4 linked regions of the Oryzias latipes genome follow. The protein of the gene in region 2 interacts with the protein of the main gene of each other region in a biochemical or structural test. Links are inferred from orthologs where the notes say so. Each region holds a gene or a part of one and is shown on either strand. Other genes may lie near its edges. The genes, in order: mapkapk5, heat shock protein beta-1, mapkapk2 and cs.

Region 1 (4,275 bases), on a different chromosome or scaffold from region 2:
AATCCCAAATAAAGATGATGAAATACAAGTGTGAGTCAGTTGCAAGTGAGAGCTTCTGCTTTTCCAGGAGAGAACAAGGATGAAAAGCTGAATGAGGTGATGTTTGAAGCCTGGAGATTCAACAGAGACTGCAAGCTGTTGAGAGACAGCCTGCAGGGGCTCAGCTGGAACGGTCAGTAGTTGTAGTTCATCCTAAAAATACATTTTATTCCTCGTTTTTTTATGTGCTTTTAGTTCAGAGACTCTGGGAGAGATCTCCAAACGAAATCCTAAAAGAAACTCAAAGGTTTTCTCAGCCGTCCATGTTGTGGGTTTCTGCACATTTATCTCCAGAAGACTTTTATATCAAAATAAAGATTTAAAGACCCACTCCGATCATCTTTTTTTGCGATTTTAGCTAAAATAAAAATAAAAAATCTGTGTCGTTTTCTAGGACATAGTTTCTACAGAGCGGCAGTAGTTCTTTCGAAATTAGCTCTTTTGAATGTCAACAGCATTTTTCCTTTGCTTCTGATTCACAACATTTGAATAAATAAATACTCAAAAATGCCATTTAAAGCTTCATTTTCTTGATATGTGTTGTCTATCGTGAGACAAATGCCACAAAAACATGTTAAAAAACCCCAAAAAATGTAATCTGAGTGGTTCTTTCAATGCAGACTCTGTAATGTCTTCCTTAAAGCCAATTCCTCCATATTTTTCCAAACTGAGGGAGATCAGAGCAAAGGACTGAGCAAGTCTTTGACCACCAGTGTTTTCATTGCAGGACGGGCCTTTTCTGATAAAGTTGATCGTTTGAAGTTGGCAGAAATCGTCAAGCTGGCCATTGAAGAGAAGACAAACCTTCAAGAATCTCACTAAAAAAAAAAGAAGCTGTCTTTCTACCCCCCTTCTCCTTTTATATTGTTTATTATCCTTTTTTTTTTAAACTCATATCTGTACAAAGGCTTTTTTTTAATGTCAAAATGATGCGCTATTCCTTTTTTTTCCTCTTTCATAAACTCACTTGCAAGACAACGTCGATCTATCGCAAGAGCTATTGTACAGCTGTAGATACATTTCAGAGAACTTGTTGGTACTTTGATTTTTTTAAAAGGACAATTGCAAAGAACAATGAAAATAGTATATATTTTACTTTTTTCAAAGAAAAAAAACTGAAGAAAAAAAACCCTACGGAAATCTGTGAAAGAAATTATTTTTGGGGAGGGAATTTTTATTAGCTGCTCATATTCAATGTCATTCATTTGATGGTAATATTTCATGATGTTATTTTATTTTAATCATCCTACTAGTTTTATTTATTGAAACAAAATTCCAATCTTTTATACATGTCATGTAGTTGGTAGTGTGCTCTACAGTTTAGAGAAGCTGTCTATAATGTGACTGTTCTTCCGCACATTTGGTCCTCATATCGGTTGTTTTTTCTTTGTTTTTGTTTTTTAACGAGATGACGAGGAGGAGCAGACGCATAAAAGTGTCATCTTGTTTCAATCACTTGTTTTAATCTTCTGAAACAGCCCCACTAAAAAAAAAAACACGCAAATCTTCTATGAAAAGTTGTTTTTTTAAGTATACAAAGGAAAAAAAATTGTTGTATTTTTACCAGGCTAGAAAGATAAAAGCATGCAAATGTGTCTCCCTTTATGGGAAAAAAAAGATGCATGCGTCTGTCGCATCTGGTCATTTTAATGGGTTAAAGCTTGTAAAAGACCTATACGAACATATCAAAGCCAAGTATGAACTTTATACGGCTTATTTAGTGTCTATGTTTGGCAAAAAAAGAAGGCTGACAATCTCCTTTTCAGAGCTTCCAGTTGTCTCTGCCTTCTTTTGAGGGTGTTGCAGGATGTGGTTAAAGATCTAAAGAAAACTTGATTCTCAAAGCATATGAGGTTCGTGCCTAGCAAATAAAAATCAACTGAATTTTTTGTTAATGTCTTTTTAAATTCCTTCCACGAGTTTGAAACGCCTCAAATTCAGTCCCGTCAAGCTTGCACCGTCGGAGCTGCTTTTTGCATAAAGTTGCTGGAATTCAGATCAGAAATGATGTTTTCATGTCAAATACTTGAGTTCAGAGGATAAAACAAAACAAAAAATCAGATGTTGGGTTTGTTCTCGTAAAAGATCAGAAAAGGGTCTGGATTTCCATCTTGAAGACTTGCAGTCCGACTTGACGTGAACTTTTTGGAGATGCGCTCAGAATGAGTGCAGCCTAGCCTATCTGCCAGTGTTACTGTTGAAGGACATTCCCTGCTTCATTTCAGTGGGCTTTTCCCCACTGAAATCAGACCTTTCATTTTATTCATATCCGAGTTTGTTTCTGTAAATGTTGACTTGACTGAAGGTTGAGTTTACTGAATGGATGACTTCAGGTTTACTCTTTTTCATCTGCAGCTCTGATGCTTTACATGTCTTTCTTCCCTTTATGAAACGCTGCATCTCTCTTTTATAACAGGAAATGTTCCGCTTGCATATTGTGACCTTTTGCGAGGCGAAGTGCTGCAAACATTGGCCAAACGTCTCCGCTGTCCAGTGAAATCTCTCTGATTGGGATCGTTGATATCTTTACTTTCAACAGGCCTGCAGAAAAAGTCTTCCTTTGTGTGCTGATCTTTCCAGTTTGGTGTAAAAGTGACAAAAGTTGAAGTACAAATGTAGCTCGGAGAGAGCGTTTTCAGTCCTGAAAGCTCAAAGACGACCACAGCTTGTGTTTGATGGACCTTTATTTTGGTGAACTCTTGCACGCTAATGTGCCTTGTGCAAAGGGCAGCGTTTATTGTTCTTACTTACAGAAATGGATCACAGAGAGGTCAATCAGAAGAGGGGAAAGATGGACAGTGGTCCTTTTCTCATTCCACAACTCGTCACAGAGTTGAAGTACGTTCACACTAATGCCATGTTTGATGAGACATCATTTGCCCTTGTTCAACAGTTTTTTTCCCCCGTTTATCTCAGCTGAAACACTAAGAATATGCAGTTTGCAGATCTAACTGCAATGTTTAAAGCCTATTTCAATTAAAAGCGAATGTTATTTCTGCCTGTGGTTATGGCCAACATCTACAGCAGCAGGGTAAACTGCCTGAACTCTTTATAGATCTGACATTTTTATTGTTTTTAATCCACAAAAGGCTGTTTTTTTTCCTTCTACAAAATAAGAGGTTAATGAATACTTGAATACAAATGTGTGGACAACCATTTTGCAAACTTGTTATAGCCAGAAGCTCATTTAAAGCTTCTTTATATTTTTTATTTACCCATAAAATTGATCAAACTACAAATTAAAGTACGAAAGTATTGAGAATAAGCATGTTCTGCACTGTTCATCAGCTGTTTTCTGCTCCACATTTCTAATACAATTGCATATTTGAACAGATTTATCTTAAGGAGCTACTACAGATTTTTTTTTAATTAGTAGCATCTTCTTGGAGGTTTTTATTAGTAGCAATCCTAATTTCAGATGTTAACCTGCCCCTTTTTTTTAGCATCTCATTGAAATGATAGAAACAGTAGCTTTTGATTTCCTTTGGGAACTTGCACTCTGAGAATGAACAAACTCCTGCTGTTGTAACTGCAATGACATGTCCATTTCAAATTGGGGGAATGTTGACAAATTCATTTTCTGAGTGGCTGTATTTTCCGTTTCCACATGCATTTGTGCCCCGTTTGCCTTCTCAGAATGTCTTCAACATGCTGACTTTGTAATAAAATACAATAAAATTTCAGCATTGTAAAAACGTCTGATTAATGGGGGTCTTTTTATTTTTTTACATTGGCCAAAAGTGGAAGTTTAATTTTACACAATTTTAAATAAAATGAATAGGAATGCAGCTGTTTGTCATATCTAGTACTTTCTTTATTGCAGACTAAAGATAGAAACTCACCTTAAAAGGAAAAAAAAAGACTTCAGATATTTTAAAGCATTTTTTAATTAGGTGGAAATCAGACGCAAAAATCAAACTTTGTGAAGCCGATCAATATAAAGTTATTTTCATGAGGTCTGTAGCAACAGTGATATTAAAGTAGGTTGTTTTTTTTGCAGGTGGAAAAGTTATAAACCACAAAACAGTTTATGTACACTTTACCACACAAAAGTAATCTATGCACATCAGTGGCCCCCCTTATATTTATGACAGGAAGTTAACCCAATTACAAGCCTCAAGCCTCCACTTCAGGAAGTAAAGCTTTAAAGCTTGACAGACCAGATCCATTTTTAAACTTTAAGGACACGTTTATTCCCAACTGCATGTTGACAATTGGTCCTCTTGAGAGCTTTTG
Region 2 (3,059 bases):
TCAAGATCAGCATAAATAGTGAACTTTGACCTTTTGTACTTAAAGAGAACTTTAAAGGGGGGGGAAAGAGCAAAACTAATTTAATTTTAAGTTTGTCTTTTTATTAATATTAGATTTGTTTTATTTTTGTTTTATATAACTTTGGAGTGCTGTCTCCATTTCCCCCAAATTAAGGTAGAGTTTTTAAGAGGTAAAAAAATTAAGTTAAGTCTTTAAATCTTTATTAAATTTGCAGTTAAAACTGTTTTACAAGGTAATGATATAATATTTTCAGAAACCTCGTACAAACAATATCATACTTCACACCGTTTTAAATTTAGTAACAGTAAATTTTTGCTGCACAGCTACAAAAAGACTTTTTTTGTCTATTCTTTTTTCCGTGTCCTTGCCTAAAATATTGATCCTTACAATATACTGTTAGTTATTATGGGTTGTAAAAAATTGGTGACCTCTGACCTGTTTTTAGGTGTAAGTTTTCATGTTAAAAAAAAGTTTGAGCTGCAAGAATGAATATTGTGACAAAACCACAATCTGTGAAAGAAATGTATTTTTACCAAATTTTATTTCTGTTTCATTGTGAAGGCTGAAATTGCATAATACAATCATTCTACAAGAACAGTAAGATAAAGACCAGTTTATAGTAAACAAAATTTTAGTGCAAAATTACAAAATTAAAAAGGACAGCAAGGGTTTGTTTTATTGGATCCAATACCATTTCTGCTTTTTATTAAGTTTAAATTAGATTATAAAAGTCTCAAATCTCCCAAAAAGCAAATGATAACATTAAATTTAAGCAATCTAGTCTGCTTTGTGTAATTTTAATAATTGCTGCTATGCACAGTTTGAGCTACTTTCTGCTCACTATGTTCATTTCTCACTGTCCTGTGTCTTTTTGGTCTGAACGGGGATGACGATCTCATTGTCCGGGCTGCTGATGGATGTTCCTGGGACGGGAGCTTCTACGGACAACATTCCTTCTGAGGACAGGGATGAGCTGATGTGCTGCAGATTCACCCCTTGTGGTAACCTCGAAAAAAATGAGAGAACGTTTGTCACAAACAGAAATATGTTACGGTCGCATCCTAAATGTGTCTCGAATTTGCTTCTCAGCCTCCTTACTTGTATTTACGAGTGAAACATCTTGAAACCAAACTGTGTTCATCTTGCTTTTCTTCATGAGTTCCTTAAAAAAAACAGTAATTATTAATAAACATCTTTATGTATAAAATGAAAAAAAATTAAGCCTACGTACCTGATATTTGCAAGTAGCCATCCTTTGTGCTGATGGAGATCTCTTCGGGTGAAAAATGATTGACGTCCAGGTTGATCTTCCAGCTGTTTTGCCCCGTTCTCACCTCAGACACACCGCTAGTCAGTTGTCTCAGACTCTTCTGGTCCGGCGTGATGGGAGGCAGGAGGGGGCTTTGCGTGTAACCCGGCCAGGAGAAAGAAGCCAGTCTCTTTTTTGCCCAGTCAAGCCAGTCCAGATCATTGGGCTCCAGGAAAGGAGGAATGCCGAAGTCCTGGGCAAAAATACGGCTTGGCTGAGTCCAGTTTGGGAAAGGATCCCAGCGGACATCTCGACGGAATATGGGCCGGGATAGTGTTTTATTTTGATCACCCATGTGGTTCAAAACTCAAGAAAAGGAGACTGAAAATAAAAGCTCTTGCTCCCACCTGACAGAAAAATGCAAGACGAGATCAGACCAACCAAAACGAAACTCAAAAACTGTAAGTAAGCAGGAGGTTTGGGGAAAAGCCTATTTTGGAGTCCGCAGCAATCCACTCACACGCTTTATATAACCAACGGCCTCCTCTTCACACTTGTGCTTTAACAAGTGTGATGTAAGGGATGAAATGTGATGGGCCGGGGCGTCAACTCTCCTGTTGCCCTGGGACTCGGAGAGGACAATGCCAATTATGTGTATTTATATCTTTTGAGTGTCTCCGGTAAGTTGTTGGGGAATGATTCTGGAAGCAGGGAGAAGTCGTGTCATTCAGCCATGGCCTCTGCAGTCCCGTCACATACTGGAGCTCTTTGTCCACCGAAACCACAGCTGCATGTGAAGCAGCACACAAAAAGTCAAACGGTAAACACAAGCGTTGCTTTTAGCCTCCCAACTTAACTTAAGAGCAAAACTGCAGAGCAAACAGGATCTCAGGGTGAAGAAGATAAAGACGTGTTTACAGCTGGTAAAAACAGATGGAGAGAAAGACTATGGAGTTCTGGAGCTGGTGTGGAATTTCACAGAAACATCTTCATGGGTTCAAAAAATAAACCGAGCTTGAGTGAGATAAATTATCTGAGGAATGGCATTTATCAGGGAGGCAACGTGAATATTTCTGAACTCTGCTCATAAACATTTCATTGTTTATCAGGTTTTAATGTTTGACACACCAGGTTACAACAGACTTGATGTCAGTCTGCTTAAGAATGTTATTAAGCACATGTTAAAAGAAAATATTGCCTGAAGTTTAGCTGTGCTATTGCTAGTTTACTAATGAATATAAAAAAGTCTAAAGTGTGCAATCAATGAAAATATGAGCATAGATCAGTTTAAAGGTGTTTTAGGGTCATCGAAAGGAAAACGCTCTTCAGTTGTAAATCCAAAAATTCTTGGAAATAACCCAGAGTTAATGTGTGTGATAAGAAACCAAATAAAGTGAATATACTGTAACATTTTACTGTAGCTCACAAGTGCATTGGCCTCTGTAAAATAGTGTTATCATCCAGCTAATATGTATTTGTGCATTTGTGTGCAATACTTATGGTTAAGGTTAGGGTCAAAGTAAGGGCAAACTTCACTAAAGTTTATTTTACAAGCTTTGCATAAGTGTCTTAAATTGCAGAGTGTAAAAAAACTGGTAGATATACATATAGCAGCCAGATGCTAATGATGTGATGGATTGGCAATGTGCAAATACCTATTTTGATGTCAAACATTAGATGGAATCCGTTTTTTATCACTTAAAAATTAAAAAGAATACACTTTCTACTAATCAAAAAAAGGCCAAAAAAAAAGCTGGAATTTTAAAGGTTAGTGCATCAATACAATGTT
Region 3 (4,018 bases), on a different chromosome or scaffold from region 2:
ATTTAAAATGATGGATGTTTTCCTAACAAAATAAATATTTGGACGAGTGTACAATAACTTTTTCATGATAAATTTCAACAGCTAGTTTATTAAGGCTCCATATTTAGAATCCACAATAAAGATCCATATGCTCAACTGTAAGTTTCTCCAGTTTCTTCATGTTACTGACAGTCCAAAAAACACAAATGGAAAGAAAAATATTAGGAAAAAGGGGGTGACGGCTAATGTAAAGGGTAAACGTTTATGGGGAGTTATTATGAACGCTTTTATACAGCAACACTGACACAAAACATAAAAAAATGAAGTTATGAAAATAATATAAAGAGCAAACTAATGGACTGCTATGGATGTATTCAAAACATTACACAGTCCACAATAACACTGCATGCCACCTATAAACACGCAGAGACGTGCACTTCAGTGGTCATCAACTACACCATAAGTGCCATTCTACCCCAGCTGCAACCTCATAACCCTTGTGCTATCCTAAGCACTTAAACGTTTGGAGTTGGGTCATCTAGACCCACTAGACAGTGCTCTGAACCTTTTTTCTTCAATGATCTGTGATCTTCATTGGTGTCCATGGATTACATGAAATCTTTCCACCTTTCTCCACCTTTGTCATGGTAGGAATAACACGTCAAGGTAAGGGAGGGGTCATCTAAGATAGCACAAGGGTTAAGTCGACACCAACTTCCAAGCATTAAAGCTTTTGGCCTTTCAGCTCTTTGAACAATGCTTCCTATTTAGTGGTGCACAAAGTGACCGAAGAAATGTTTCCACTGAACGGCAAACCCACAGAGCCAGTTTGTTAAGGTGGTTCGTTAAAAGTATGCTATTTTAAAAGAGAATACTACAACACAGATCTTAAGCTTCAACTCTCAGTCATCTCAGATGCCTTTTTGTATTTTAAACTGTGGACTGAGCTTTATATCAAATGTTTTGCTTTGTTTACTGACCACAAAATCAAAACTATGCAAACAATCAAGATAGTATTGGTTTGCATTTGTAAAAAACAAAAAACTGCAGTTTTAACCTATACAAATAATGATGACCTAATTCCTTACTGCAGATCACATTCCCACAGATAAATTCTACTTCCCTTTTTGTACTTATATATATTGAGAGTAGAAGTACTCACTTGTGACATTATGGGAGTATGCATACATAGTTGAGCTTCTCACAATCTACCAACCCTTAAACACAAATTACACACCAAGCAGGAGTAACCATAGTTTGTGTTTATAACTGGAAAGCAGAAAGTTGTGACCGTAATTTACTACTTTAACTAGATCTGTAACATTTTCTTTGGTGGTGATTTACTATTGTTTATTGTTCACAGTTTACGCAAACTGCCCTCACCAGGAGTTAAAACATACAATAATAGAATACATTCTACTGTGATATGTGTGATAACACCCGTGTGTGTGTGTGTGTGTGTGTGTGTGTGTGTGTGTGTGTGTGTGTGTGTGTGTGTGTGTGTGTGTGTGTGTGTATCTTTTAAGATATTTGTTGTGTATTAATAATTACCCAACACAAAATGTCCACTAAAACCAGTAGAAGACACAGACCAAAATATGGTTTTGTATTGTTTAGTCTAAAATGTTACTTTAAAACTGGTTTGCTGAAGTGAAGAAAATAAAAATAAGAATTAAAGAAATAAAAATAAATAAAAATAAGGATAAGTAGCATTTAGATTTGACGTGGGATGTTTGTTTTTTTGTCCTGTCTGTAATGACTGCCAAGTCTGGGATTTGAACCCCCAGCTAATTGGCTGACAGACAGCAGCTCTACCCAATAAGTTACAGCCAAAAAAATAATTGTATCTCTAGAGATGTATTGTTGTTTTACTGTTGAGACAATGTAAGGCCAGAAGCCATAGAACCACAGACAAGTTACCTGGGATTTGAACCCTTGGACAACCAATTGGCTAAACGCTTGACCCACAGACAGAGCAACAGCAACCCCATCATCATCAAGACTTGTGCAAAACCTCAAAAGCTGTTTAGTCTGAGCTGTGAGAGCCTAGTAGTTCCCACATGTGACAACGTCAGAAACTAGGACCCACCGAAACTTAGACCTACCTTCAGCGCAAACTTGTCGCCGGTCTTCTTGTGGAAGATTTCCAGCACTTTTCCATTGATGCCCAGCCCCAACACCTGGTTGGTCACCTTGTACTCGTCTGTGATGGCGTTCTTCTTAATTTGTAGGGTGGGTTTAGAGTGGAAAGAGACGAACTGGCCCGTGGGGTTTTGCTGCTCACCCGGGTTCTGTTGACCCGCCGGGTTTGGAAAGAGTGGTTGGTTCTGAGCGTTGGACAGCATGTTTACTAGTCGAGGCTGAGAGATGAACGGACGTCACCTCTCAACAATGCCGCTCTGCTATTTTCCTTTAAAACAAACTAACTCTTCCTTGGTTAGCTGGCCTTTGAGCAGTACGGACCCAGGCCCGGGGACTAGCTGACAGTAGTTGTGACGTTACAGGTTGGAAAAAAGTCAATTGGTTAGCCGACAAAAGCTAAACTAGCTCGCGGTTAGCATGCTAGCATTTTTCGATCCTGCCCTGTGAGCTATTGATCGGATTCTTGGCTAGCGGCGAAGCTAGGGGGTTAGCTTATACATCTCCGGGTGTTTCTGCCTTTTACCGGTTCCTCAAAGAAAGCTCCTGAAACTTTTCCGAAACATCCTCTAAGTACGCCACGGCGCCAGTTTTCATCGCAGGTCAAAGGACACCTTCCCGTTAAAGTTATCAAAGAAAACCAAACGCTATTGAAAAGACAAAACAAAAGAGGGGGGGAAAGTCCGATTCGCTTAGCAAAACCACTTCAGTTTCTGGTGAAGCAGACACCCAGCAGGTCTGTTGGTGACGTCACGGCGAGGGGGATGTTCGCTACTTAAAGGAGAAGTGAGATAGCAGGAAGAGCCGAATATAAATCAGACCACGAGTACCGTCAGCGAGGCGACACAACATGCCTCAAAGTCTAAAAGTGTCCCCGTTTTTTTCTGGATATTGGAAAATGGCAACAAAGTTCTCCAAACCAGCAGCTCGACTTTTATTTTGTAGCTTTAGCGTTTATTAGAAGAGACCCTCTCTCATAGTATTGAGGCAGCAGAGGGAGAGCAGGACAAAAATAGACCCAGTAATCTCTGACTCCATGAACACCATAGGTTACCTCAAGGTTAGGCGTTAAAACCTGGAATTAAACCTGAAATAACCAGTTGTCGCACTGTGAGAAGGGTTTTGGTTGGACCAGAACATTATTTTTCCCCGACAGTCCAGAAAATTGCATGCATTGGATCTGGTTGGAGTTTTTTGGGAGTTTTGCCCCCCGGTTAGCACCAATCCTATAATAATCAGTGTAATGCAAGTTAGTCACACGAATCCTGCATTGTTGTTTATTTCAATTACATACAAAAGTGAAACGTATAGTAAAAAACAAATGTCCTGACACTTATTTATAATTTATAATAAAGACCTATAATAATATTTGTCCCCTAGTGAAGTGAAAGAAAAATTGGAGCAGCAACCGTCAGCTTTAGTCACTTTATTCCATGAGAATATAAATGCAAACTATCTATTTTTAGAAAGGAGAAAACATAGACCAAATAGAGAACCTGTGGTCTTTGTGCCTAAAAAGATAAAACAAAAAATTCCACCAAATATGATCAAGCGGAAGTGACTGCCTCTAGTTTTCAACAACAGTTAGACAAACAAGCGTTTGGAATACCAGGACAAAACTTACAAAGAACACAGACAGAAAATTCACTAAAGTACTATGAGTTCATATGAATTTTAAATGGCTTAAAACAAGCATGTCCAAAGTCAGGCCCTTAGGCCCTCATTCAAATTTCTCCCGGCCCGCCGTTTATTTATTTATTTGTTTTTATCTTAAGATTGCAAATGTTTTTAGTAATTATATATTTTTATTCATTCATTTCTCCTTCAAATTTGTCTTAAAAATTCACTCATGCAATATTTACATGTTGGAAAGCAGCACAAAGCGAGTTTTATTGAATAT
Region 4 (3,504 bases), on a different chromosome or scaffold from region 2:
TATATACCTATGTACACAAAGTATAAATAAAACCACAACATGAGAACCCACACTATATTTTTATACATATCAAACACCCCTCAAAAAAACAAACAGGGAGGGGGTTCTTTATCTGCTACAGGGTGGGAAAACCAATCAAGCAAGTGCTCACTGTTGAGTAGACGATGTTTAAAGCGCTTTCCTGTGATGACAAAGTCAAACCTACGCTAAAAATACAATAAGTCCCTCCCATAATCCCACGTTTCATTCAAGCTTGCTTTTAAAGATCACACGGGCTGCAAATTCCAAACACCCGCCGGCCAAATGTACATTACATCTTCTTCCATTCTCGTTAAGACCTTTCAAAACCCCATAAAAAAAAGAAGAAGAAAGAGTTAGCTGTCGTACGTCTACACAAACGAGTTATTTTGATCGTAGAGGTAATACAGGTCAGCTATTGGACAACAAAAGGAGATCACAGATTTAAAGGGGCAGTATCTTTTAAGCATATTTTTAAAAAAAAAATTTTTTTTTAAATCAGATTGCACACTGTTTTACTAATCAGGACCTTGTTTTTTTTAGCTGGAGTGTTAGTAAGTGGGAGTGAAATAAACAGATGAGATTTGATTGCATAGAAGAAACATAAGTTAATTTTTTTTTCCCCCGGACTTTTACTCCAGAAGAAAAAGAATAGTTGGCTAAAAGCAGCAAATGTTTAGTATATTCCAATTAAGCCTTTTTTTTTTTTTTTTTTTAAATGGCATTTAGTTTACTTCCATGATTCCCTTTGAATACCTCTCTGCTTACTCATAAGTCAATGTTTGATGGGAAACACTCAAGCAGACGTAGCTTGAGCCTATCCAAGGTTGAATGTCTGTGTTTGAAGTTTGCTCCATTCTTGTATTAAATGTGCAGATACAACAGGAAATCTCGTCAGCGGCTCACTTAAACGTTTCATCGCTAACGGTGTGACAAATTAAAAGGCCCTTCTTAAGTGAAATAGCATTAAAAGCATACTGAATCCCGTTAAATCCCTTGGGTTGGAAAACGACGTTGGGTCAACTGATGTCTGCCTTCTGATGTTTCTGAACCTTCCTACCCTTCTCACTAAACGCCCAGCTCCTCTCAACCAGACTTGGATCCAACCAGAGACATCAATCCGTCCGTGCTCATGGACTTGGGACGCTCCAGAGGGAAGCCCAGCGCCCTACTCCACACGAGCTGGGCCAGGACGCCGAGGGCGCGAGACACGCCAAAAAGGACAGTGTAGTAGTTCATCTCCGTCATTCCATAGTACTGCGCACACGGGGAAAGCAGAGTCAGACACCCCTCAATCAGGATTAGCCTAATCTTCATCTGATGAAGATTAATGAGATGTCTCACCTGCAGAAGAACACCGCTGTGAGCGTCCACGTTGGGCCAGGGGTTCTTCGCCTTCCCCTGTTCCAGCAGGACATTGGGCACAATCTTGTAAAGCTGGGCAACCAGTTTAAACATGGGGTCATTGGGCAGATGTTTCAGGGCAAACTCGCGCTGACAAGTGTAACGCGGGTCGGTCTTTCTCAGGACAGCATGGCCATAGCCCGGCACCACCTACAGTGAGGAAAACGAAAGGACGATCTTGTCATTTGGGGAACTTTCTGTGGATTACAGCTAAATGTTTGGAAGTATTTTCTAAACTCCAGACAACAGATGAGGCCAGAACTGGCTTTTAAACACAAATGTATACTGGAAGTGTGAGAATCCAGTTACCCGTCCAGATTTGAGGGTGTTCCAGATGTAGTCCCTCATCCTTTCATCAGAAACCTCCCCGCCCAGCTCCTTCTGCAGGGCGGTCAGCCACACCAGCACCTCCTGTCCACACAAAACCACACAGGCAGCAGGGATGCATGAGGAATCCTCATAATGACGGATCTACATTAAATCCTGATCAATAACGTCAACCGACTCCTGAATGATGAGTCAGCTATTTTAGTAAATAAAGAACAACCGGGCAAATATCAAGTAAACATGTTTGCTTTGGAAATACAAAATGTCAGGGTTGTTGCTACAATCAACAAACACGACACTTTTGCTGTGAGGAGAAATGGACAACGACGCAGAGGAAGGAAGTACCGGTAATCTTTACTTTAACAGAAGTACATTTGTGTACCATTCCATTCCAAAGACTAGTTTCACAGAACCATACTTTGACTTAAAGTAAAAAACAGTTACAAACGTATGAATCAGTTTATATATTTCTTCTTTTTTTTAAATAACATTTGTTTTATGAATTTAAGAAATGCTTGACAACATTGGAATGTGATTGATATCATCTGAAACCACAAAATGATGATTAGCCGGCATAAATATTTCTGCTGAGTCATTCAGCTTTGACTATCCAGCATTAAATGAACAAATCATGTTAGTGCAGAAAACATAAAAATATAGTTTTCATTAATTTAAAGACTGAAGAGAAACTTGTTGTCTGGGTAATTGATTTTAAAACAATGGTATCATTGCTTTTTCCATTTTTATTTGCATCTTCCACTGTATGAGAAGGAACTTTATTTTGGAAAACACTTCTGCAAAAAGAGTTTTTAATAAAGGTTGGTGGAAAGATGTTGATTTATTTGAAAATAGGATCATTTGCTATGATGTGATCATATTTTATATAATTTGTTTGAAAATATTATATTTTATAAAATCTCAACAAATACAGAGCCACAAGACCTTAAGTATACATTTCCTTTTTCACTCTCAGCTAATCGGAAAACCAGATGTGTTTTCAGAGGCAACATTAGCCAACCTGTATTTTCCCCCCCAACTACCGGTAGCTAGTTTGGGAAAAATACCAGTTAGACAAATAACTCTCAAAGTTAACACAAAACTATAAAGCTTATCTGCATCCTTACACTGAAATTGGTTAATGATTCTTACGTTTGTAGTGTTTTTTTTTCACAGACTTGCTGTGGCTGAAACAAACACACAACATTTGTGTTGTTCTGGAGGGAAGGGTGTGTGTGAAAGTTGAGTACAAACCTGATTGGCCAACCCGTGGAGAGGACCGGCCAGACCATTCATGGCGGCGCTGAAGGACAGATAGGGATCAGACAGGGCGCTGCCTACGAGGTGGCTTGTGTGTGCACTGACATTGCCGCCTTCATGGTCACTAAAGAATGAAAAGACAGAGGAAACACCAAAGAAACGTAAATAAATACATTTAAAAAAAAAAACATATGGAATTTGATTAAGCAAACACAATTTCCATGATTTCTAATTCATATTATAGCAAAGTAACACAATGTCAAGAAAAGAAAAGAAATGAAGACAGACATGGGTTTAACCATTTCAGTTCTAAAGCACCAGCTGTTTAGGAACCATGTTTTCTTTTATACACCTTATTTATACTAAATATTACTTTAAGATAAAGTTCTGAATATGTGTCTTAAAGTAACAAGAATTTTCCCAAAAACTACTCTGATGAGAAACCAACTGTCGATAGAAAACTTCGAAACTTATGGGAAAATGATTTGTGTTACTGCC

What was found.
Region 1: of the proteins of heat shock protein beta-1 (region 2) and mapkapk5, one has a biochemical effect on the other in vitro, tested with the Homo sapiens proteins (4 studies listed by BioGRID and IntAct). The link is inferred for Oryzias latipes from reciprocal best matches to the Homo sapiens genes HSPB1 and MAPKAPK5.
Region 3: of the proteins of heat shock protein beta-1 (region 2) and mapkapk2, one has a biochemical effect on the other in vitro, tested with the Homo sapiens proteins (17 studies listed by BioGRID and IntAct, with this or other methods). The link is inferred for Oryzias latipes from reciprocal best matches to the Homo sapiens genes HSPB1 and MAPKAPK2.
Region 4: the proteins of heat shock protein beta-1 (region 2) and cs form a complex in vitro, tested with the Homo sapiens proteins (2 studies listed by BioGRID). The link is inferred for Oryzias latipes from reciprocal best matches to the Homo sapiens genes HSPB1 and CS.

What each region holds. Positions count from the first base shown.
Region 1 is NC_019867.2:7,513,038-7,517,312, forward strand, and holds the end of mapkapk5 (MAP kinase-activated protein kinase 5), read left to right. Parts: intron 1-67; coding exon 68-172; intron 173-766; coding exon 767-861; 3' UTR 862-3,739; downstream 3,740-4,275. UniProt on the Homo sapiens protein: Tumor suppressor serine/threonine-protein kinase involved in mTORC1 signaling and post-transcriptional regulation. Phosphorylates FOXO3, ERK3/MAPK6, ERK4/MAPK4, HSP27/HSPB1, p53/TP53 and RHEB.
Region 2 is NC_019870.2:13,682,144-13,685,202, forward strand, and holds heat shock protein beta-1, read right to left. Parts: upstream 1,819-3,059; 5' UTR 1,626-1,818; coding exon 1,253-1,625; intron 1,184-1,252; coding exon 1,120-1,183; intron 1,028-1,119; coding exon 868-1,027; 3' UTR 544-867; downstream 1-543. UniProt on the Homo sapiens protein: Small heat shock protein which functions as a molecular chaperone probably maintaining denatured proteins in a folding-competent state. Plays a role in stress resistance and actin organization.
Region 3 is NC_019863.2:27,980,374-27,984,391, forward strand, and holds the start of mapkapk2 (MAP kinase-activated protein kinase 2), read right to left. Parts: upstream 2,867-4,018; 5' UTR 2,325-2,866; coding exon 2,085-2,324; intron 1-2,084. UniProt on the Homo sapiens protein: Stress-activated serine/threonine-protein kinase involved in cytokine production, endocytosis, reorganization of the cytoskeleton, cell migration, cell cycle control, chromatin remodeling, DNA damage response and transcriptional regulation.
Region 4 is NC_019865.2:22,280,342-22,283,845, forward strand, and holds the end of cs (citrate synthase, mitochondrial), read right to left. Parts: intron 3,131-3,504; coding exon 3,001-3,130; intron 1,834-3,000; coding exon 1,732-1,833; intron 1,573-1,731; coding exon 1,363-1,572; intron 1,276-1,362; coding exon 1,105-1,275; 3' UTR 522-1,104; downstream 1-521. UniProt on the Homo sapiens protein: Key enzyme of the Krebs tricarboxylic acid cycle which catalyzes the synthesis of citrate from acetyl coenzyme A and oxaloacetate.